Linked DNA regions of Arabidopsis thaliana. The protein of the gene in region 2 interacts with the protein of the main gene of each other region in a pairwise test. Each region holds a gene or a part of one and is shown on either strand. Other genes may lie near its edges.

What was found. The genes of interacting proteins can lie anywhere in the genome.
Region 1: the proteins of AGL103 (region 2) and LBD38 interact in a two-hybrid assay, tested with the Arabidopsis thaliana proteins (one large-scale study listed by BioGRID).
Region 3: the proteins of AGL103 (region 2) and AGL92 interact in a two-hybrid assay, tested with the Arabidopsis thaliana proteins (one large-scale study listed by BioGRID).

The regions. Positions count from the first base shown.
Region 1 is NC_003074.8:18,510,562-18,518,690, reverse strand, and holds LBD38 (LOB domain-containing protein 38), read right to left. Parts: upstream 4,426-8,129; 5' UTR 4,227-4,425; coding exon 4,043-4,226; intron 3,949-4,042; coding exon 3,389-3,948; 3' UTR 2,560-3,388; downstream 1-2,559. Other genes in the region: AT3G49930 (C2H2 and C2HC zinc fingers superfamily protein), read right to left, coding at 7,798-8,129.
Region 2 is NC_003074.8:6,416,222-6,423,584, forward strand, and holds AGL103 (AGAMOUS-like 103), read right to left. Parts: upstream 2,284-7,363; coding exon 1,123-2,283; downstream 1-1,122. Other genes in the region: PGSIP1 (plant glycogenin-like starch initiation protein 1), read right to left, coding at 2,990-3,262, 3,719-4,491, 4,597-5,216, 5,337-5,573, 5,662-5,738. UniProt on the Arabidopsis thaliana protein: Probable transcription factor that may function in the maintenance of the proper function of the central cell in pollen tube attraction.
Region 3 is NC_003070.9:11,320,133-11,327,778, forward strand, and holds AGL92 (AGAMOUS-like 92), read right to left. Parts: upstream 4,045-7,646; coding exon 2,787-4,044; intron 2,697-2,786; coding exon 2,560-2,696; downstream 1-2,559. Other genes in the region: ROPGEF14 (RHO guanyl-nucleotide exchange factor 14), read right to left, coding at 6,342-6,698, 6,771-7,121, 7,198-7,467, 7,554-7,628. UniProt on the Arabidopsis thaliana protein: Putative transcription factor.

The sequences.
Region 1 (8,129 bases), about 12 Mb from region 2:
ATGATTAATTTGTCGGTATATATATATATATATATTCTATTTTTATCAGGACGTATGTATTCTCTAATTCGTATCGTATATGCACATCTTCTAGTTACTTATTACAACATGAAAAATGATTTAGTCAAAGATAAGAAGCTATTGTAGGACCCAATAGGTGAAAGAGTGGATTATGTGTTCCAGCGATGAGGGAACCAGTCACGTGAAAGTCACGTGTCGCATCCATTTCACGTCCTTGTCGCGATCTCTCCCAAATCTTCAACACTGATCCTTTCTAGCTCCTCCAAAGTCTCGTTTAAATTTACAAAAAACAGCCTTCGCAAAGGATTATGATTAGCACTTGATTATCTTAGTGACGTTCTCATTAATAATCATACTATAAAACTTGAATCAATCCGACATTAGAAGAGTCGATAAAGATCAAAGACTAGAGTTATCTTATTTTTATATTTTATTTGTTAAACTCTATTTTTGCTTTAAGAAAAGAATATCCTAATTAAGTGTAAATGAATGTACGGCCAACAAAAGATTTGAAGGGGCAAGATGGCTCTTGGGTCCTCACCTTACTCGAAGAATGATCACACAAAACCCTAAGAACCACAAAAAATGTAGACCAAGCTAAGTCTTATGATCATCTATATTAATAACAAAATCAATCGTTAGAAATTAGATAGTGATATTGATCCACAAGAAACTTATTCGATAAACTCTTGAATAGCAAAAGACTTGAGAAAACTAAAAGCAAGAAACAAACAATTGAGATTGTTTTTTAAAGAGGTTCATATACAAAATCTCTGGGGATAATCGGGACATGATGACATTCAGTTACAAAAATTTCCAAATATGTGTTGTAGAAATTAATATATCACTTTTTTTTCTTTTTTTGAATCATTGTAATGTAAAATTTATTAAAAAGTCTTTGGTTACAATATATGCAGCTTTAAGCATAACGTTTTTTGAGTTTCAGAAAATTAATATATCACTTTGTATAGTAATGTACGAAAAAATTCATCAAGAACTATGTACGGTTACATATCAAGATGTTATGGTCTAATGTGTGTTTACCGGTTGATAAAATGTTATTTGGTAGCTAATATTCAGCTAACCCTAGTTTTTGTTTTATTTGAGAGTCAGATAATCATGTATATATAACTTTTGCAAAAATAAAAATTGAAATAATGAGAAAATATTACTTTACTATTATCATTCATATATATATAACACACCAAAAAAAAAATCATATATATATATATATATATCCAAAAACAAATCACTTACTTAATTCTGTATTTTATCCAGAATCATTATGAATTAACACACCAAAAAAAAATCATATATATATATATATATATATCCAAAAAAAATCACTTACTTAATTCTGTATTTTATCCAGAATCATTATGAATACCAACTTGATTTTGATGGTCTTAATTAATTATTTGATATTCTATTTTTTTGTCGTTATTTGATATTCTATTTAGATTGACTAGTTTTCTTGTGATCATTTGATAATCCACGTCGTTTTGTTTTCACCTTCAAATTTTTTTATTGATCACCATGTTTTTTGGAATACACAAAGTAGTAAATGTTTCATAATCATGTGAGACCTAGGGTTTTAATTTTCAACTTGATTATTTAAGTTTAGTTATTCCTTACTAATTTAACTACCATTTTCTTGACATTCATACCAAAGACAAATAATTAACTAAAGTTTTGTTCGTTTTCGGAAGAAAAGTTTAAGAAAACATCAAGTGGACTCACACACACCGACTTAAGTGGAGAAGGTGATGAAAGTATTGGGCCCATAAGAAACTGCGGCTGCTCGTGGCTTTTGGCATTAAACACGAATCTTGCTAATGTTATTTTATTCTCATTATACTTGATGGATTCATGTTTATCCATCCATATTGTTATATTGTATTCCCCAAATTTTTAAAAAGCGAATTCGTCTAGTATAGTTAGCTCCATAGTTTAAAAGTAGAAAAAGAAATTTAGCTCCATAAATTTTGTAACTCATGATTAGACACTAATTAGATGTAAAAAACAGACGAGATTGAACGAATGATGATACCCGGTTGTTGATAAAACTTGAAATGGTCAGAACTAAAAACTTATATTTTTCAAAAATAACATAAAGAGTCCGGTGGTCGGAAAAGGAAAGGAGAGTGACGTGGACCACAAGCAATTGTTTGCCCACTAGTGACTGGCTGGTCGAAAGTATATTTAAAATATGTCCCACTTCATAAGATCTTCAAATCACTTCTTCTGTTCCAACAACAATCCATTCTCATTTCAACGTTTCAAAAGCAAACATGTTATTGGTCAATTTCATTGTTTCTACGCCATCATCCATAGAGCAACAATACCTTGTTGTTTTTATTAAACAAAATGTGAAGAAGAATAGAAGAACAATAAAAAAAGAGTGCTTTTGAAGATTCCACGAAGGTATGAAGTGTGACATAAACGGCTCTTTGCGTCGTCCAAAAGCCGCCTCCCCCAAAAGCTTTCCCTTTATAACCCCAACTTTTTGGGTTCAACCCAACTACATGCATTATATAATGCATATCTACTCTATACATACAATTACTTATATTATGTAATGCACCTTGTTTAATCTTTTTTAGAGTTTGTATTCATCCGGAGAATGTGTGGTAGACTAATCTTAAACATAGAAAGAAACACATGAAGATGTACATATGCCATTGAGAGTGTTGCGAAGAAGACCGTTGCAGTACTAGTATAGGATAATTTGAGATATCACAAAAAGATCATCACATCTCGAGGAATACGTACTATTGTGTTATACTATTACTAGGTATCATTAAACCATTGAATAACAAATGTAGTATCGAAAGACAATAAACCTGGAGATAATAAATGCTAATATTTTGTTTTGCGAGTAGTAATCAAGATGATTATCAAAATAGCAAGTTGTGTATGATTGTGTGTACATTACAACATGTTGGTCCTTAAAGAATCGAAATATGTTGGGTGCGAAGACTTTGCCGGTGCTTTGGATTTGGAGAGATGTATATTTTGACTCCGATTCGTGATTATTATTATTAATGTTGAATATGTCGATAAAAACAAATAATTTAGTAGCTAATAAGTATTGATTTATCGTACACATTATCATTGTTATCTTTTAATTTGAATTCGATGAGAATGATGATTAATTGATTATGAACTAAAAATAAAATAGTACACCACCGACGAATTATATCATTATTCTCTATTACTTTGGATAATTTCTCATAATTAAAGAGAGAAATAAATCACGTAATTTGCTACATTTCACAAAATATTAAGGGCTATTAATCCAAAAAAGGCCACAACAAAAAGTTACTCGAAATTACATTTTTAACCCTCATAACAAAAACGACGCCGTTCAAGCGAAGAGATTGAGCAACTTTGTCGTTGCTCCTCCTCCTCCTCCGCCGCAGCGTACGTACCGATCACCGGCGTTGTTGTTTTGAAACGAAACCGTGGTAACAGACTCCTCCGAGTACATCGACGGTGTATCTTCCTTAAACGGCAAGGTTTTAATCGGATAAATAGGAATAAGAGAGAGATCAAGCTCCGACGAAGGTTGTTGTTCCGACGATAATCGTTTCCGTTTCGGCGGAGAAGCTGTTGATCTTGATCTAGATCTAGAGCTTGAGAATCGGCAGTGATGATAAATGTTCCGATCACCGGAATCATCAGCTTTTCGTAGATTCAACATTTCCGTACAGATCTCCGAAGCTTCGTCGGAAGTAGGAGACGGAAACCCGGCGAATCCACCGCCGTTAAGAAGCTCCGGTATTGGTTTTAAAGAACCACCACGAAGCACCGTCTCAACCGCCGCTTGACAAACATTCCAATTCCCCGTCCACAACAATCCGACGGCTCCGTTCACCGGATTCACAGTTCTCCCACAAGCTTCGTATAGCAAAGACTGAAACAAAGCTGTAAAAAGACCAAATACCCTTACCATCAGAAACCAAAACGACAACGTTTAGACGAAGATCTAAAGGACCGAGAGGTTTTTGTTTTTAAGTACCAGGGCATTGAGATTCCGGTACGGCGGAGATGAAAGACATTAAACCGGCACGGCCGAAGAACTTAGCGACGAAGACGGTGGCGTGGCCTTGAGCTTCAGGTGATTCGATCCATTGAATACATGGACGGAGGATGCAATTCTCACTGCAACCTTTTCGTAGAACTCGACAACCATTGCAACTCATTATTTTCAGAAATCTTTTAAGTTAGTATTTTATCTTTGGTTTTGCTATAATCTTGGAGATTCAAAAAGCTTTTGGTACAAGAAAGAGAAAGAGAGAGAGTGGGACAAAGTGTTTCAATGTTTGGTTGAAGAAGAAGAGTTATGTAATATTTATAGACAATAGACATTGATACTTGAGTGAAGGAATGGGTCATGGCTTTGAGATTTTATTATATTTTAATAAAAATTGGATAATAATCAAAGTTTAAAGAGCCCTACCAAATTACAAAATAGAATGATTGCTACAAAATATATTTATTTTATCATTAACTGAATTTAATTTATGCTATAGTTTATACAAAAAAAAATGTTATGTTAGGTTTAATTATGAAAGTTAAAAATGGTGTGTGGTTGTTGACTAGTTGGTGATGAGGAGAGAGGAAGAAAGAGAGATTCCAAGGTGATGGGTGCGAACGGCTCCGTGTCCCCGCGAATAGTTGCCTCCTCAACCATTGGTTCTTTTTTTCTTTCTTTATAAATTTCTCATTTCTATTCTTTTTCATATTCTTTACTTGCTTCATTTCTATATAAATGTTTGCGTCATGCATGAACGATCTCGATTATTTGATGGCAGATCTCAATTCTATCTATCCAGTGTTTATTCGTTGACAAATTTTTCGAATCTTCATGTCTCAAACAAAAATCAGTGTGATTAACATATATTATCGATTATCGGTGTAAAGAAAAGAAAAAAACCTAGCTTCTCATCTAACAACAACAAAAAAAACACATAGATTCTCAAATGAAATAACGCACTTCAATTTCAAAATTGAGATTTATAACTAATTAGATCATATTCTCTCTAGTTCGCTATTATTTGTTGAGCTATATAAGTGCCTCTCTTAAACTATTGGTCTCTATGAGTTTTATAAATATAGATATGGTTCATTCGTTCATGCAGTACGTATACTTTGTAAACAATTTATTTATGAAACCAATGAGATTGTTTTGTTTAGGGTTAAGGCTAAGCTGACCCTTCAACGAAACAAATCCACTACCTGACCCTTAAATCAACCTTAAGGGTTTTGATAATTTAATATGAAAAATGTTTTAGAAGAAAGATAGAGGCGTTTTTTTGCCTACGATGCTGTCTCACGTGTGTGACCAAATCAAACATTTCTTTTCTCCTTTACATTAGCTAGTAACAAAATCAAATATATGATGAACAGAAGATCTACAACAAAATGATATTAATAAGTCAAAGTGTCTTCTTCTACTTTCCTATAGCAATGCGGTGAAACGGCGCCGTTCATGGCTTACGTGGTGTGCTTACCTACACTCCAATTAGGCAAATTTTCCACTGAATGCCGCCGTCTCTTTATATTTCTTTATTCCCAATTACTTCAGTCCATTAGTAATTTAAAAATGCATTATTGTTTCGTTGAACTTCTGGTACCTAAAGTTCATTTGCTTAATTAGTCGACACAAGACACTTGAACGCGACAGTTTTGATCAACAACGACATAAAATTGGTGTTAAACAGATGCTTAGATGTTCGATAAATCAACTACTTATTTTTACAACGGTATTCCTATTTTAAATATCAATCTTATAACATAATTTCAATCTCAATTTTTGAAAATTAGTATTGTTTTGTGGCCCTTCTTCCAAAAATTTATTTTCTGAAGTGAATGCAACAAGATAGATTTTACCTTTATATATTTAGTAAAATCAATGTTATAAAATAGATTATAAGTTAGACGTACGGCAGAACACAATAGAAAAAATATTATATATACTTCAATGTTTATGATGTACAGTGGGAAGTCATATTGCATACAATAGAAAAACCAAAACTATTTCTTTGAAAACAGAACAAAAACAATGTATGAGACTTGTAAACTATTGAGAAGAAATGAAAGAAATTGTCAAATAGAGGTTGCACAAATTGCATTCCTACTTACATTCATTGATGTTCATTATATTATGCTATAAAACCTAATTACATGGTTAGATAAGGTGGGTTTGTGGACTTGTATTTCATGAGTCTATGGACTTGTGTTGGGCTTTAACATGTCCTCTTTCACGTTGAGTTCTAAATGATTAAATACTGGGCTGTTAATTGGGATATAATTTCTCAGCTATAAGAGCCGGTACACTATGTCACTATGGGCTCTACTGCATTTTTCGTATGGTCCAAAGTCCAAACAATGAGTCTTTGGTAAATTAATAGTTTAACACCACTTTAACGGTACCATGCCAAAACTAATTTGGATGTTATTGTAACGCTCGAGGGCCTTATTAGGCCTTATTACAAGCTAATAAGCTATATACTATGCCCACAAAAATTGGTGAAATTCTTTAGTTTCTAAGTTTCTAGCAATATAAGAAGACAATAGTACAAAGAGAATGAATGACCAAATCTTACAGACTTATAACACAAGCATTAGGTTATAGCCTAATAGGTAATGTAAGATGTAAGTATAAGCAGTAAGCTGCACGACATATTTTCCGTCTTATTTAGCAAGGTATTATTATTATTTTTTCCCACACCATTTTAGATTTAAAATTTTTGCTTTTGTCTTTTCAAAGCCAAATCTTAATTTGACGAAAAGTTTATACCGAACCGCATAATATCACATATATAAACAACATTTTTAAGGGATGAGTTTTCTGAACTCTAAATAAAAATCGGTTGACAAGAAAAAAACAAATCTTAAAATAATTCCAAAAATTCTTAACCATCAGATACTACAATATAGTTATAAAGAATAATTATAAGTCAATTTTTTGTGCCACCAAAAAAACAATATTTTCCCGGCATTTAATTCAGAAAATACCCAATATCCATATTTTTCTCGGAATGTATAACTACTCTTTTTCTTAGAAGATACATAAGAACTGGGATCGATTAAGACGTGTAAGATATTTATCGTAACAAATTATACAATTAATTAATTATTAAAAGACTCGTAAAACTCGTGAAAACGAAATAATACAGAATTATAAAAATAATTTAAGCGTGGAGGGAAGTGTGAGTGCCAACCAATCAAAGTCGACAAGCCACTTAAGGATTAGCTTCGTTAGGTACTACTAACCGATCTATCACTACTTCAATAATTAATACTAACATAACCCAAAATTAATACTATTTCTCCTATCAAATTATGTTTTTAAATAGAAATCTGAAATGTTTAATCAAATAGTTAAATTCTTAGGAACAGATCACTTCAAGCTGGGAGTGACAGATTCAAAGAAGTGGTTCCTTTGCTTGCGGAAATAGTAAATGAAAAATTAATCAAGTAATGAAGAAAAACAACAGTAGGAAGTTTCCATGAAATAGTAGTTTTCAATTTTCATTAATCCAATTCTTTTTATTATTAACAAAATTAATAATAATTTCAAATATATCCTTTTTTTTTTTTACTTTTTATAAACAAAAACCAACAACGAATAAACATTTGAAGATTATTTTCTTTCCATATACGTAAACAGAAATTAAAATAATCCAAAGTCCACTCCAATCATTTTCATTACAGACTCAGCTAATGATCAACCACTAGCTAATCCCGATCGGTAAAAAATAATAATAATCACAACACCGACTTTGTTTCTTCACCGGAGAGTTGACTTTTTCCAATTGTCTCATCACTAACTTGATCAGCCGGTAAATTTAGGTCAAACTTGTGGCTATTGTCACCGTTACTGTTACCGTTACCACCATCATAGTGACAACGTTTGTGACCACCCAATGCTTGACCAGAGGGAAACGACTTAAAACATATAGAGCAGTTATGAGTCTTCCCACTTTGACCAACTAAACCGTTACTAATATTTCCGTTATTAGTAACGGTTCCGTTACTATTATTAACATCGACACTAACCGGTTTCCGGTGACTTGTTTTGTGTCCACCTAACGCTTGGT
Region 2 (7,363 bases):
AACCCGAAACTAAAACTGGTACCAATTCTTCCTGGAAATAAAACCACACAATGTCTCACATAAACCCAAATAGAACCTAAATTGAGTAAAAGGGAAAAAAAAAGTCAAACTAAATTGAACCTAATTAGAGTTTAATAGATAAAATTATATAACCCTAAAATTGAGAAGTAGACAAGAAGATAGACAGAACTCACTTGAATTCGAATAGAGCTCTTCATCACTAAACCCTAAGACCAAGCTTCTTCTTCTTCTAGGGTTTCGAAAGAAAGTAGAACGACAACGAGTTTGTTTAGCTCTGGTTCTTCAAATTTTCCAAGTTCTAGGTTCTATGGTTTTTTTTTCGGAGAAGTAAATTAAAAGACTCGCACACAAAAAAAAAAAAAAATACAATTCTTTCGCTTAGGTTTTGCTTCTGTGTGGTTAATAGGTCCCACTTGAAGGTAAGTACTCTTCAGTTTAAATCCAACCGTTGACTAAAATCCTTTTAATCTCACCCGTTGATTATTTCTTAAATAAGCCGAACACAACACTTTATTGTCCAGTTGGATCTTTTGTACTTTTTTCTATTTTTCATTTCTTTGACCTTTTTCCCTTTTTAATGCGAGGACATATGATTGGAGAGAGCTGCTAAAGTATTTTTTTAGCTTAAGTAATTTCTGATTGTGTTTTACTTTACCCGTCTTAAAACTTAAAAGCTTGCCTAGGGTTTTTTTATTCATCAAACATTAATCGTATAATCAAATTCTCGGCAATAAGTATAACAAACCAAAAAAAATCTCAGAATAACAAAAGAGGAAGTATAGGAAAAGTGTCACTAACATGGGAGACATTACTAGTCTTAATTCTCAGCAATAAATATAACAAACAAAAGAATCTCAGGATAACAAAAAAAAGAAGTAGTATAAGAAAAGAGTCACTAGCATGGGAGACATTATTAGTCTTTTAGTCACATTACACTAATAAATAAAAGTAGACATAATCGAAAACTTGGAGATCGATATACTGTCTCAAACTGATAATTGCACTAACCAAAAGTTATAAATATATATGCTTCTTAGTTATATAACTAGGAGATATTAAAAACCAAAAATTATGAAGCTATAAGAGAGATTGTGATAGATCTTAGAGAGACCTAGTATTGTTTCCGTTTTGATCCAAATTGAAAACCCGGTCCTGATGTTGGCTGTTGTACGTTGGAAATTGAACATACTGATGCGAAAGACCATTAGAGTTAATGCTGTTGTTGTTACTGTAGTCATGCATGTTCATGCTCTGCAACCCGTTAGTTCCAGCTCCTTGCATCCCAAGTAACCCTGCACAGTCTTGAACATTGAAGTTGTTGCGGCTGGACATGTTAGGGTTCTCAAACTCATTGTTTCCGTCTTCGTGTACCCCAAGTAAGCTAGAGTAACTTTCCGCTCTGGAATTCTGGTCAAACTGTTTTGAGAAATCATTAACGCTGTTGATGTTGTTATAGGTTAACATGTTCATGTTCTGAAGCCCATTGATCCCAGTTCCTTGTACCCCGAGAGACCCCGAGTAATTTCCCGCATCCGAATTCGGGTAAATCATCAGTTCAGGCGGAATCGGAGCTAGAGATTGCGTTTGGTTTGAAGCCAATGCTGAGACTGGGATTTGTGAGAAAGCACCGTTTCCATGGTTCCACAGATACATGGAAACCTGGTTTGAGTGTTGTTGAAGTTGATTCATCGTATTAGCCATCATCAGTTCTTGATTAGCCATGTTCGTGTACTGTACCCTCCTCTGCCCCTGAGCTTCAACAACAGCGCAAGTCCTATGTTGGATCCTGGTTAGGTTTCGTTCCAAGGACTGAACCAGTCCCATGAGTTGCTCCACAGAGTAATTGTCAAACCTAGGGTCCCAAACTGGATACTTGACTTTGGGTACACGTCTCACTTTAATCTTCTTCTTCTCCTCCTTCTCGGGATCATCCTTGTTCATCTTCTCGAGGAACTCGTGAAGATCAACGCTTCCTTTGCGACGCTTCGTCTCGCTTAATTCACCGTACCTTCGAGCTATGGCTTTGACCTTCTCTCTCTCTTCAGGCCATGTCTTAAGCTCTCCGTTTGATCCGTAACAGATGACGCAGACATCGATGTCACAGAGAATTGAAAGCTCTTTAGCTTTCTTAAAGACAGTCTGTTGTCTTTTGATCAAACTTGTGGCCCTCGAAGAAGAAAAAGCAGAATTAGGTTTCTTGAAAAAGGTTTTGTTCTTCTTCGATGTTGAAAACGAAAGAGAAGAGGACGAAGAAGAAGCCATGGTTGTGTATATTCTCTGTGAATTGAATGAAGAGGTGGTGATCATTGTTTGCGAATATATAAAACCCTTAGTTCGAGAATTTCTATTTTTGGTCTCGCTCGGTAATTAATGACGAATCAATAATGAAAGCGGTGAAGATTTCATTGCCTTTTTTAATATACTTTTTTCTCATAGAATCAATTTATATGTTTAACGAAGGTGTAGTTTTACTAATAAGGAAAACTTTGGTTTTTGGTTGAATATTATGGAAATCTTTAGTAGAGATTCTTTTCACATGTACATACATACACAAATACATACACTGATATACACACACATAGATTTATATACTATACGTAATGTATACATACTACACTGCGATTCGACTAAAAATTTGGATTTTTCGAAAGTTTAATTATACTACATATGTTTAGTTACATCAATTAATTTGTGTTGTTTGGCTATATGTAAGTCTATAATCTATCGTTTCTGTATAAACTATTTGAATGTTACTAACATTTTTGAGTTTGTGTTTGTATACAAAAATGGCATATAAATACGACATATGTTTTATTTTGTGGTTAAACTGCAAAAAAATGTTTTATTCAATTTGAACAAACTATAGGAAAAAGATATAGTTACACAACTGATATTCACCTAATCTCGCAGCAACAATTCAAACCAAAAAACTCATGAAATCCATTAATAAGTATGTATAATTATTGCGTCACAAGTTATGGCCGGGAAGTGATGATCTCCGGTCTACGGTAATGGCTGGTGGGGTGGGAACAAAAGACTCGTAGTCAGTCCAATTTGATTCGCCCCAATGCCGCAGCATACTTTTCCAATTACATAATTTGTCGATGCAAATTTTGAATCTCGGGTCCTTTACTCTTATTTTCCAATGACCGTCGGCATAATTTGCGGCCTCTGCTTGCCGGCGATCATATTCCAGCTGTGCCTTTTGCTTGGATCGCAAGTAACAGAATTGGTGAAGTTCCTGCAAAATATCATATATGGTAATTACTAACCGTCACAATTTTAGAATAATTTGGGAAAACGTCTAACTATTTTTATATTTCTGCCAACCAATGTTTTTTTAAACTAATCATAAAGAAAGAAAATTTGAAATGATTTTTTTATAAGGTGTATAAAACATAGACATTAAAACTTGATGCCTACTGCGTAGGGGGCTAATTCTGCATTTACTAACCCACCAAGATTTTCGTATATTCAAATTTCATATGGTTATTCTAAACTTGGGTAGTAAGTAATTTTTAGTTTATTTATTTTTTCAAGTTTTGGAAATTTTTGAGAAAGAAATAATGCTATGCAGTTAGTCTCTCAACGCATGACTAAACGCCTAATAATATTTTGAATATTGATCACAATATGAGATTGAAAATATTATGTGATTTTTGAGTTCTATTAAGGTTTTTAGGAGAGAGTGAATCACCTGTGGCATGGCGTCGTGGACCATCCACCATTTTCGATGAGCGATATCGGTAGCAAACTCAACGAATATGTCGGAGTTGAAGTTACAGTCGTAGTCACGGTAACATAACCACGGCTTCATCCCAAGGTAATGAAGAACATAAAGAACAGGAGGCTCTGCTCCAAAAAGCTCTGTTTTCTTGCGTTTCGCGTCATCTTCATCGCCAATCCAAAAATGCTTCAAGAAATTCATATGTTTTGGAATCCGGTGCCACCATGTGAATACCTCGTTTAAGTAACCTTGATCTCCACCGTTATAAGACTCAATCTCGTTTATATGTTCCATCAGAAGCTGAAACGTACAGTTGCAAGGCTCGATCACCATAACTCCTGAATTAAACAGAGTTCCATTGTTTCCTGTAGCTGAGATCTCAGGCATCGAGAACAAGAAATCGATGTTTCTCAAGATTAAGAGATCCGCGTCGATGAAAATGATTTTGTCGTAATCAGTCAGCTGCCATAGCCGGAACTTGCTGTAGTTCCATTCGTTGTAAGCATCTTTCTCTGCCTTAGGGTTTCGAATCCTCTGTATCGTCCGGATTTGCCAACCCGCGGCTTCTAGTCCACTCCGGTGGTAACCGCTGATGTTGTCATCAACAAGGATAACAAGGTCTCTCGTCGAACCAGACTGTCTTATGCTCTGAGCCGCGGCGATTGCACCGCAGACGTAAACGTGAGCTGAGTGAAGAATTGTTGCGTAAGCTTCTCTTTTAGGGTTTCCTAAGCTTGGCCTATCTGTAAAATTCATGGAAGAAAACAGACACTAGTTAACTTAGCGACGATTTTTCAAATTTGTTTTCAAATCTAAACAAGTAATTTCGGGAGTCATTTTTATTCTACCTTGGATGCCAAGAGGAAGAGATAGCTCACAAGACCCTACAGGCAGCTGAAGCTTGTCTCTCAAGGTATCAAGATTAGGTTTGTACAACCAAACATCGCCTCTCCGAGACACAAGATCTTTACACCGGAAAAGATTCGGAATCGGAAAGCATCTAGATACAAAAAACACATGTCCCCTGAAAAACCCTTTGGCCGAAGCCGCCACAGTTGCAGCCGCTAGCTGTAGATGCAATCTCCCGACGTCTCTCGACCAATTCCCTTCTTTCCGACAAGGAAGTTTCACGACGATCAGATCGAGTCTTCTTGTAGGTACCTTAATGTTCGGGATATTAGGACAAACAGGGACCTCTGTTTCTTGCTCCTCATCGATCCACTCTGGATATAGTGCGTCCCAAGTCACATTCTTGTCTGCGTAATCTAGATTCAATACAACAACTTTTTCTTCATCCCCATTGTCCTTGCTCTTGGATACTTCTCTCCATCGTTGGATCTCGTTCGAATCAAAATTCAAGACACCGATCGTACGGCCTTCTTCGATGTTCTCAAGGGTTTTAGTCACATCGTCCCAGTTTATATCCAGATCCGAGAAGTAACGTGGATCTTGTCTTCTCCATATCCATCTAATTTCATAATTTTAAGATAGTATTATAAGAGATAGAGGCAAAAGTAAAAATTTGCATGTGAACATTTTTGAGGTCAAGAATGTAAATGTTGGTGATGGAAAAAAGAAATAGATTTACCGAGAAGATGAGTGGGAAAGAGAATGATGATAAGCTTCAGGAGAATAGATAATGGTGAAGAGAGTGGCAGAGAGAAGGATAAACAAGAGAAGCTTCACGATCTGAAACTTGGTGAAACAACAACAACTACTGTTTTTGTCTTGTGTCGAAAAATTTATGATATTAAACGGTTTCACCATATCCGATCTGCCACCTCCTTTGCTATTTCTCCGGAATCTCCTCTTGCATATTGCTTCTCTGCTTAAACACACACAAAGCCACAATTAGACGATTTTGTTCAGATTTTTTTAATCATTACTTAGAGAGTATTATACTATACACTTACATGGACGCGGAGAGGCGTCGCCGGGAGTCACCACCGGTTGTGGTGGTGGGTGCAGGAGCAGCGGGAGAGTTTGCCATATAAAACTGATGGATTGGGACAGTAGAATTGGACAAGGAAGAGGAGAGAGCAAATATAGGTGAGACATAACGTCTCTTTTAATCTTCTTATATCACATTTCCTTTGTTTCTATTTTTGTTTTTGTTAGGAAATAAGAAAATTGTATTTTTCATACCCACCTTTTTAACAAAGTTAATTTTTGATTTTCTCTTTTTGAAGTTATCGTGATTTTAATAAAATGTTTTAAATTGTGGATAATATTGTAGCTCTTTAGTTTAAACTCCATTCTCAGTTTGTGACTCTCTTATGATTGACATATATATGTCCACCAAACTTTGATCATTTCTTTGTAAAGAGAACCATAATTTATTTTCAAAATAATGAGTTTTTTTTTCAAAATAAAGATACACTTTACCAATAACTCACTTGATTATATAAGCAAAAATATTTTTTTGAAAGGTTTTAAGTCATTGAATTCAATATATATATATAGTGGAAAGAAATATATTACTATGTTTTATTGCATGTACATATTGTACAGCTGGAGAAAGGTAAAATGATGTACGCATGCATCCATGAATAACTATGATTAGTTAACAATAATATACTTCTTCATGAATAGTATTCATCAAAGATGAAAGTATCTTAGTAACAAAGCAACCGTTACTATTAACAATTGACAATACTAATGTACAACGTTTAAAACCTTGGTGGCAAAGTAAGGTGAAGATAAGGTAACATAGCAAGACAGGTAAGCCTCTTTTTTTTGGAAAAATACAGGTAAGCTCAATACATTGATTCAAACTTCGCTTGCAATTTGCAAAGTTCGGAGGTCTTTTCAAGAACTGCTTCCACCAAACTTGTGTTTTGAATTTGTATTTATTTATTGATTATTCGAAATATTAGTTTTTGACTTTTTTTTATAAAGAAAATGGGTTATGTACATTTGAGCATATGATCCAGATTACAAAATTCAACAAAATATTAAATGTTCACATTTTTTATTTTACTTAATTTTCTTAATTTTGATAATAATTCAGAATCTAATAAAGTAAAAGAAACTCGTATATGTGAGGAAATATTATATGGTTTAGATGAAGGAATAATAATATGCATAATTAATAAGATCCGAGAGATGGTGCAAGGTTAAAATGATTTAATTAATTAACTTCTAAGCTTCATTAAGACTTGGAAAAACAAAGACAGGTGGGAACATGTGTCAATCAGAGGACTGAAGGAGTAGCTAAATTGCACATAGGAGAAGGTGGGGACTCTAGAGACCAACTTTGCTTCTGATAAGACCCTTGCAACCATCGCTACGTATGATTCAAAATATATTATTGATCACAATTATTATTCGAAATATTTAGTATTAGTCTAGAAATAAAAATCCCAATACTGAACATGAGTTATGTTCGGGCCGTAATAATCTTCACCCACATACACATTTACGTACGTTCGAATTTTCGATTGAGCATGTTGTTGACAAATGGCAGTGTATTGGAAGCAAAGCGAAGCAAAGGTATTTTCGTATCTTGTACATCTTTCCTTTCCAAGGACAAACACTTTCACCAAATAGTTTTTTTTTTCCCCTGAATATTTTACTTTAGACTTATGAAACTCCAACAAAATAAACATATACATA
Region 3 (7,646 bases), on a different chromosome or scaffold from region 2:
TAATAAAATATCATTAAAATTTATATTAATTAATTTAGTAAAAATATTTGATACTTACAATAATAACAAATGAAAATATATAATAGTAGAGTATTAGAGAAAAATATATTTTTTTAAATCTCAGATTTGGTTATATGAACTTTTTTAATAAATATATTAAAAGAACATTTGTCATGGCCTGCAGGTCCACCTGATTTTTTTTAATCATTAAGTTGATTCTAATTAAAAGGAAATTTGGATAAAATAACTGTTTTATACATTAATAGATGGATTTCTTTCCTCTTTTGGCTCAGTAATAAATTAGTTTAGAGATAATTTGTTAAATCATGCATATATTATACCTTTTGGAGAATACTTTTTCTTTTATTGGGTTAGAATATTTCATTGCATTGCCAGCTAATTATAAGCTGTAAATAGGGAAATTAAAGATTTTAGACTACGTATAGAAAACTTCCAGTTGTTTTTACATACCCAAAGAAATATCTAAACTTTAAAGTATTAATATTTAAATATAGTTTAATTATATATTAATTTTTGGTTTAAAAGCAAAAAATGAACCAATTAAAAAAAGACAAGTGTAATATACCCAAAGTTCAAGTTAATATACCAAAAGTTCTTATTTAAGAACCTTTCTCTTATTTCTCTCATACTTTTTTTGTGTGGTATGATTATAATGAGAGAGAATCCAAAAAAAATGGAGGTCTAACAATAACCAAAAAATAAGAAAAACAAGAATGCACATCGTTAATTAGACTTTGTTTGACTGGTTCTCTTCTTATCAATTACATTTACAAAATGTAGAAATTTCTCTAAAATAAATAGCATATTTATTGATTTTTGATTAAATGTTTTCAAATAGTTATAAAAATACTATAGAGTAGAAGATATTACATGAGAGAATGGTAAATAATTCAATCCAGTAGTAGTTTAATTTCCATTCTCTTTAAATGCTAAATTTTATTTCAAGCTCACCGTATATTTTTGGCTCAGATAATAAATAACTTTCATCTGCCATAAAACACTAATTTTCATGTTTATTTATATGTTTAGTTAGGGGCGACTTAAGCTACTTATAGTTATAGGTCATGTTCAAAAGTTTAACTATAGATATCTTAAATAAGGTCCATATATATACATAAGAACTTTTTTTGGTAATCACGATCCGTTTAATCTATGTATTTAATTTACACATACTAAAACAATTCAAGGTATAGTCGATCTTATCTGAACGTTGTAGTAAGCATAACTGGTCACCAAAAATATGTTCTTAGTTGAAGTACACACTTGAATCCAACCCAAAAAACCTCGTCAGTGTTGGGATGATACACGAAGTGAAGCCTATAGTTGAAATAGAACGCTAGGAAGCCATTTTTCTAAAAAAAAATCTTAATGAATACTTAGTAGGTGATAGGTACAGATAGAGATACATTAAGGCTTGTGTTAATTTCAAATTACCTTAGGCCCATAATATATGCATATCCTAAAATATACCTTATTTTCTTAATATCTCAGCTTTTTATTTAAAATTTTCAGAAGAGCCAAATCAATTTAACCATATTCAATCTTAATACAGTCTTTAAAACGGTTTTTAAAGGAGAAGCTTCAGGTGGCACGCATCGAACTAGGAAGACCCTCTAAATCAAGGAGAAGTATCAGAAGGCACTTTACTTAAACACCACAGTCTACTGCTTCTACTTGGAGTTGTATTCACTGAATTACCTGCCTTAGCAACTGCAAACAAAAAATAGAAAACCAGTCTCTGTCCCATCGGAGAGGCCTTACACGGGACCAAAGCAAAGGCCTTTGGGGTGCTCTTTAGGGTCACATGAGCTAAGGATGCTACTCGGTGGTGCAAGGGAGTTATAACTCTTTCAAGATTTCTCCCATTCTTGAAAGAATCCAGAAAGCAAGATTCGCAAGTGTTCGGGAATATGCTTCAAGAAGCCCATGCATGACCAATGTCCTGAAAACAAAGAAGAAGGATTTAATATCGACAAATAATTGTATTGTAAAGTATGACATGTTTCAGAACATAAACTAAGAAAGATGTAATTAGTTCTGTTTATGTTTACATTGCCATATTGGATCTTTGTGGCATTAAGAAACGAGTGAGGAAGATTAGAGTGTTTGGATTTGATCTGATTTCTAAGCGCTTCTTTTCGGTTCAAGAGTGATTCACTGCGACCAATTTCAACAATGGTTCTCCTCGTATATATACTCAATGGTACTTCTCCTCCTATATATACAACTTCCGTCCTGAACTCTCTTCAAAATATTTAATCATATAAGTATTTAACCATAATGAAGGCTTGAAAAGTATTGATGTTTTTTGGAAACAAAATCCTATCTGATTTTGGCAGATCTATTTAGTTATGCATTTTAAGAACAAAAAGCTCGTAAAAAATAATTTGTGACCAAACAGAAATGACTTCATTGAAATAGAACTGACTTAAAGGTAAAACCTTCAACTCTTACAACAACTAATTGAAAAGGAAAAGCATAATTAAATACTGGTCTTTTAAAACAAACAAAACACAAAATGCACACTACTGAAACACATCACACATTGTTGTTGTTGTTGTTGTTGGTGGTGGTGGTGGTGGTGGAAGGCATGTGACCGGTGGAAGTAAGACCAACGGTTGGTGGCTGGTGGTAGTTGTAGTAGTTTCCGTCCATGAAAGGGATGTGTGCATGCTCTCCAACATAACCCGCTTATTCATAAGGATATTCTGTCAACATATTCATGAATGGATCATTTTGAAACGGATACTGATTTGGATCCAAACTCATATTCTGGTTCAAATTCATATCATAGTTTCCTTGTTGAATCTGATGATTAAAATCAACAGGAGCTTGGTATTGAACCGGCTCCTGTTGATTTTGATTCAAATTCATATTCTCAAACTGAAAATGATCACTAAAACCAGTAGGGACATAGGGCTGAACCGGCTCATACTGATTCTGATTCATAGGAAGACCGGCACCTGCAACACCAAGAGCTTGGTAGTGAACCGGCTCTTGTTGATTTTGATACAAATTCATATGCTGATATTGAACATTATCACTAAAAACAGTAGGGATATAAGGCTGAACCGGCTCATACTGCAACTGACTCATAGGAAGACCGCCACCCGCGACAGCAAGACTCTGGTAGTGAACGGGCTCATACTGATTCTGAGTCATAGGAAGACCGGCACCCGCAACAGCAAGAGCCTGGTAATGAACCGGCTCTTGTTGGTTTTGATTGAAGTTCATATTCTGATATTGAATATGATCACTAAAACCAGTAGGGACATAGGGCTGAACCGGCTCATACTGATTCTGGTTCACATTCATGTTATGAAATCCAGTAGGAACATTAACCGCAGCTTGATCTGCAACAACAGGAAGATTGGCACCCGCAACAGCAAACAGAGGAGGAACAGTTACCGCAGCTTGATCAGCAACAACAGGAAGATTGGCACCCGCAACAGCAAACAAAGGAGGAACAGTTACCGCAGCTTGATCTGCAACAACAGGAGGATTGGCACCCGCAACATCAAACAGAGGAGGAACAGAAGAAGAAGACTCACCATATTCTGTAAGGAACTTCTTCCTGGCATTAAGCTGATTAAGATATTGATCAGTAAAAAGACTTAAATCTTGAAGGTCCCTTGCACCATACTGTTGCTCACTCATCTTGCCTCCAACGCAATCAAACATAAAATGCTTAAGCTGAGTTTCTCGGTTTTCACGACGTAGACTCTCTAGTTTGTTTTGTTCTTTGGTGATTTGGTCCCGCAAGAAAGTCTCATGACTCATCATCGTCTTGGACCGTTCTGTCGCCGGCTTCTCCATGAACTCCGAAATCACCTCTTGAACACCTTCGGTTGACGGCCACACCGTTGGATTCTCGAACGGACTGTAGATTACCGCACATGCTTTGATGTCACAGAGAGTTGTCAGCTCGTGGAGTTTCTTCCTTATCCCTGCATTCCTCTTCCTGAATGTGGCTCTCCGAAAGTGTCTATCAGGTATGAGTACTAACTTAGTCTTCGTCCTCATTATCTTTATTTTTCTTTTCTTTGGTGTTTGTGTTTGTTTAGTTTCTTGGCCCAAGACTGTTTATATAGCAACGAAAAGGGTGATTTTTTACTCAGGGTGTGGCTTATCACGTTTCTGGACTCATTAATTTGTAGTTACAGCATTAAATCTTTTGGCTACTGTCTTATTAATTGATTAGGCCACTAATTAAAGCTATGACTAAGATTGGATTCTCTTTTCTCTTTACTAAATATAGTTTATCTTCGTATATTACTCACTTTTCTTTTAAGAGTAATATTAAGCTTTGATAAACTGTGAAAATTTCTAATATTTTAAGTGTTTTTCTTTTCTTTTCGAATAGAGTTTTACAGCTTAATTTCCATGTAAAATCATGAATATATAAAAGCTTAGGAACTTTGTTTATCTATAGTAAAATTATTTCGGGAAAGAATTAACGTGTCTTACGAAATATTTAGAACGAGCGAAAATTTTGAAATATGTAGACATTAAAGGAAGCCTACATAGAAAAAAGTTTGTAAACCAATATAATAAAATAATAAATATCATTAAAATTTCTATCATGTTTTAATATATAAAAAATGCTCTTTTATATGTATAAAAATTTATCTTTACAATAATAAAATATAAAAAATAATAATAAAGTAATAAAGAAATTTTTCCTTATAAAATATTAAAATCACAGATTTAGTTATATGAATTAAATTTTTAATAAAATATTTTTAAAAAATCTGCCATGGCCAGAAGGTCCATCTAATTTTGTTTAGTCAATAAGTTGATTTTAATTAAAAGGAAATAAGGGTAAAACTGTCTTTATACATTAATATAATAATATATATGGATTTTTTCCATCTTTTGACTTATACACTAATATGACTATTTATGACATTAAAACGTATCAATTAATGTACACGTGTAAAATCATGATTGGATATAAAAGAAAATCAGTTATTTTAGAGATAAATTATGAATTCATGCATATATTATACCTTTTGGAGCATATATTTTTCTTAATTTGGTTAAAATATTCATTGTACTGCCAGCTAATTATGAGCTGTAAATATTTGAAACTAGAAATTTGACAAGAGGTTTAGAGCACTTCCAATGGTTTTCACATATCCCAAAAAAGTATCCCAACTTTTAAAGTCTTAATATTTTTAATAATTTTAATTTAAAAATAAAAATGAACAATTAAAAAGAGACAATTGTAAAGTTCTAGTTAGTATACCCAAAGTTCTTATTTGAGAAATTTTCTCTTCTTTCTATCTTAAATTTTTTTTTAGTTATGATTATAATGGGGGAGTATCTTATTAAGACCCTCCAATAATTTTCATTTTTATTTATATGTCTAGTTAGGATGTTTGAACTATATATATAGGTCATGTTCAAAAGTTTAGTTAAAGATTTTTTAAATATGGTAAAATAATCTTTTGAAAAGTTATAGGTCCTTATTGAGTTATATGTATATGAAATTTTTTACAAGAACAGTTTTTTGGTAATCAAGATCCATTTGATCTCTATACTTGCTATATTGAAAACAATTATGGTCTGTTCGATTTTCTTTGAGTTAGTAAGCATAATTGGCCTTTAACAATATTTTGTGTTAGTATCGGATGGCACAGTTGAACTTAAATCCAACCCAAAAAACCTCATTAGTGTCGGGATGATAGACGAAGTGAAGCTTGCCATTTTGTTATACTTATTAGGTAGTATGTACAAACGGAAACTCATTAAGGCTTTGTGCTAATTTCAAATTATCCTTAAGCCCATAATATGTACATATCCAACCAAGATAGATCCCTTCTAAATGAAGACTTCTTATACTCCAATCTTGCTAGTGACTTAATGGAAGTGTGCAAAAGATAGTGGCTTGGTGAAAATACCTGTTAGTTGATCATTTGTCGAGATGACAGCTAATGCTTCATTCAAAGATGGAAGTCGGGATAGTAACCTAATTGAGATTCAAATTAGATTTCAAGAAAGTAGTAATTAAAATGATTCTAGTCTAGTATATTATAAATAGATTATGGTTTTGGACATTTTTGTTTTGAATATACCTTATTTTGTAAAGTATTTTCTGGAAGAGACTAATAAATTTAATCATAATCAATCGTATCAATTTTTTTTCCCGGATTAAAAATTTGCTTTTCACCGTGAAGTTATGAACAAAATTGTATGAATTCGTACTTTAACTGCAATATGTTAATACATTTACAACATCTCAGGCTTCATAATTTAAAACCTTCAAAGTAAAGGAGAAGCTTCAGGTGGCACGCATCGAACTAGGAAGACCCTCTAAATCAAGGAGAAGTATCAGAAGGCACTTTACTCAAACACCACAGTCTACTGCTTCTACTTGGAGTTGTATTCACTGAATTACTTGCCTTAGCATCTGCAAACAAAAAATCTAAACCAGTCTCTGTCCCATCGGCTTTGTTCATGTCATCGGTTAAAGAATGCCTTACACGGGACGAAAGCAGAGGTCTCTCAGGTGTCCTATAAGGGTCACGGGAGCTAGGGAAGCAACTCGGTGGTGCAGGAGAGTTAGGGTTGCTTAAAGAATCTTCTTTCAAGATTTCTCCCATTCTTGAAAGAATCCGGAAAGCTAGATTCGCAAGTGTTCGGGAATATGCTTCGAGAACCGCATGACCTATGTCCTGAACACAGAGAAGAAAGATGTTTCAGACCATTGGACTAAGAAAGATGTAGTTAGTTTTGTTTATTTATACCTTGTCATATTGGATCTTTGTAGCATCAAGAAACGAGTGAGGGAGATTAGGGTGTTTGGATTTGATCTGAGTTCTAAGCGCTTCTGCTCGGTTCAAGAGTGACTCATTGCGACCAATTTCAGACAACGGATCTTTAGCGAATGACCACGATGCTCTTACAGGGGATTTACCATTGCTGCCTTGTTCTGTAATCCTTTCTTTCCAAGCAAACATAGCAGATTCTAACTTGTTAACTGTCTCGAGTGCTGCATGTTCGGTTCCCAGATTGAGCGATATAAAGATTTCATCTACTGTTGCAGATTCCACAGCCAACATCTTGTACAGTTCATCACCGAGGCTGTTCTTTCCAGACTGTTACAAAACAAGATTTTAGAGGTAGTTGTATAATTATGACTATCACAAGGGATAATAAAGAGTGCAAGCTTACTTTAGGTATTGCTTCCTTGATAACAATGGGAACTGGCATTTCAAGAAGAATGTTTTCGTTTATGGCTTTTGTAGCTTTGAAGACTTGATAAACAACTTTTCCTTTGTCAAGCAATTTCTTCCTTCCTGAGTTAGAGAGTCCAGGTTTAGGCACTTGTGGCGATGGAAGCCACCATCGTTTGCTCTCACTTGTACTCTTGTTCTTCCCTTCAGCTCTACTACCAATCTCAGAATACCAAAACTCTGTGTTCACCATAGAATCCAGTGTCTCCTGTGGAGTTGTAATGCAACTTTAATCAGATCAGGAAATAGAAGAATAAGAAAAGACAAGATTAACAAAAGAGATAATCCGCTCACAATTAGCATTGAGTCCAACTTCTGAAGAGCTGGGAGATTCATATGAATGTCTGCGCGGGCTTTCGGAGTCATTATCTGTTAAAACAAGGATTC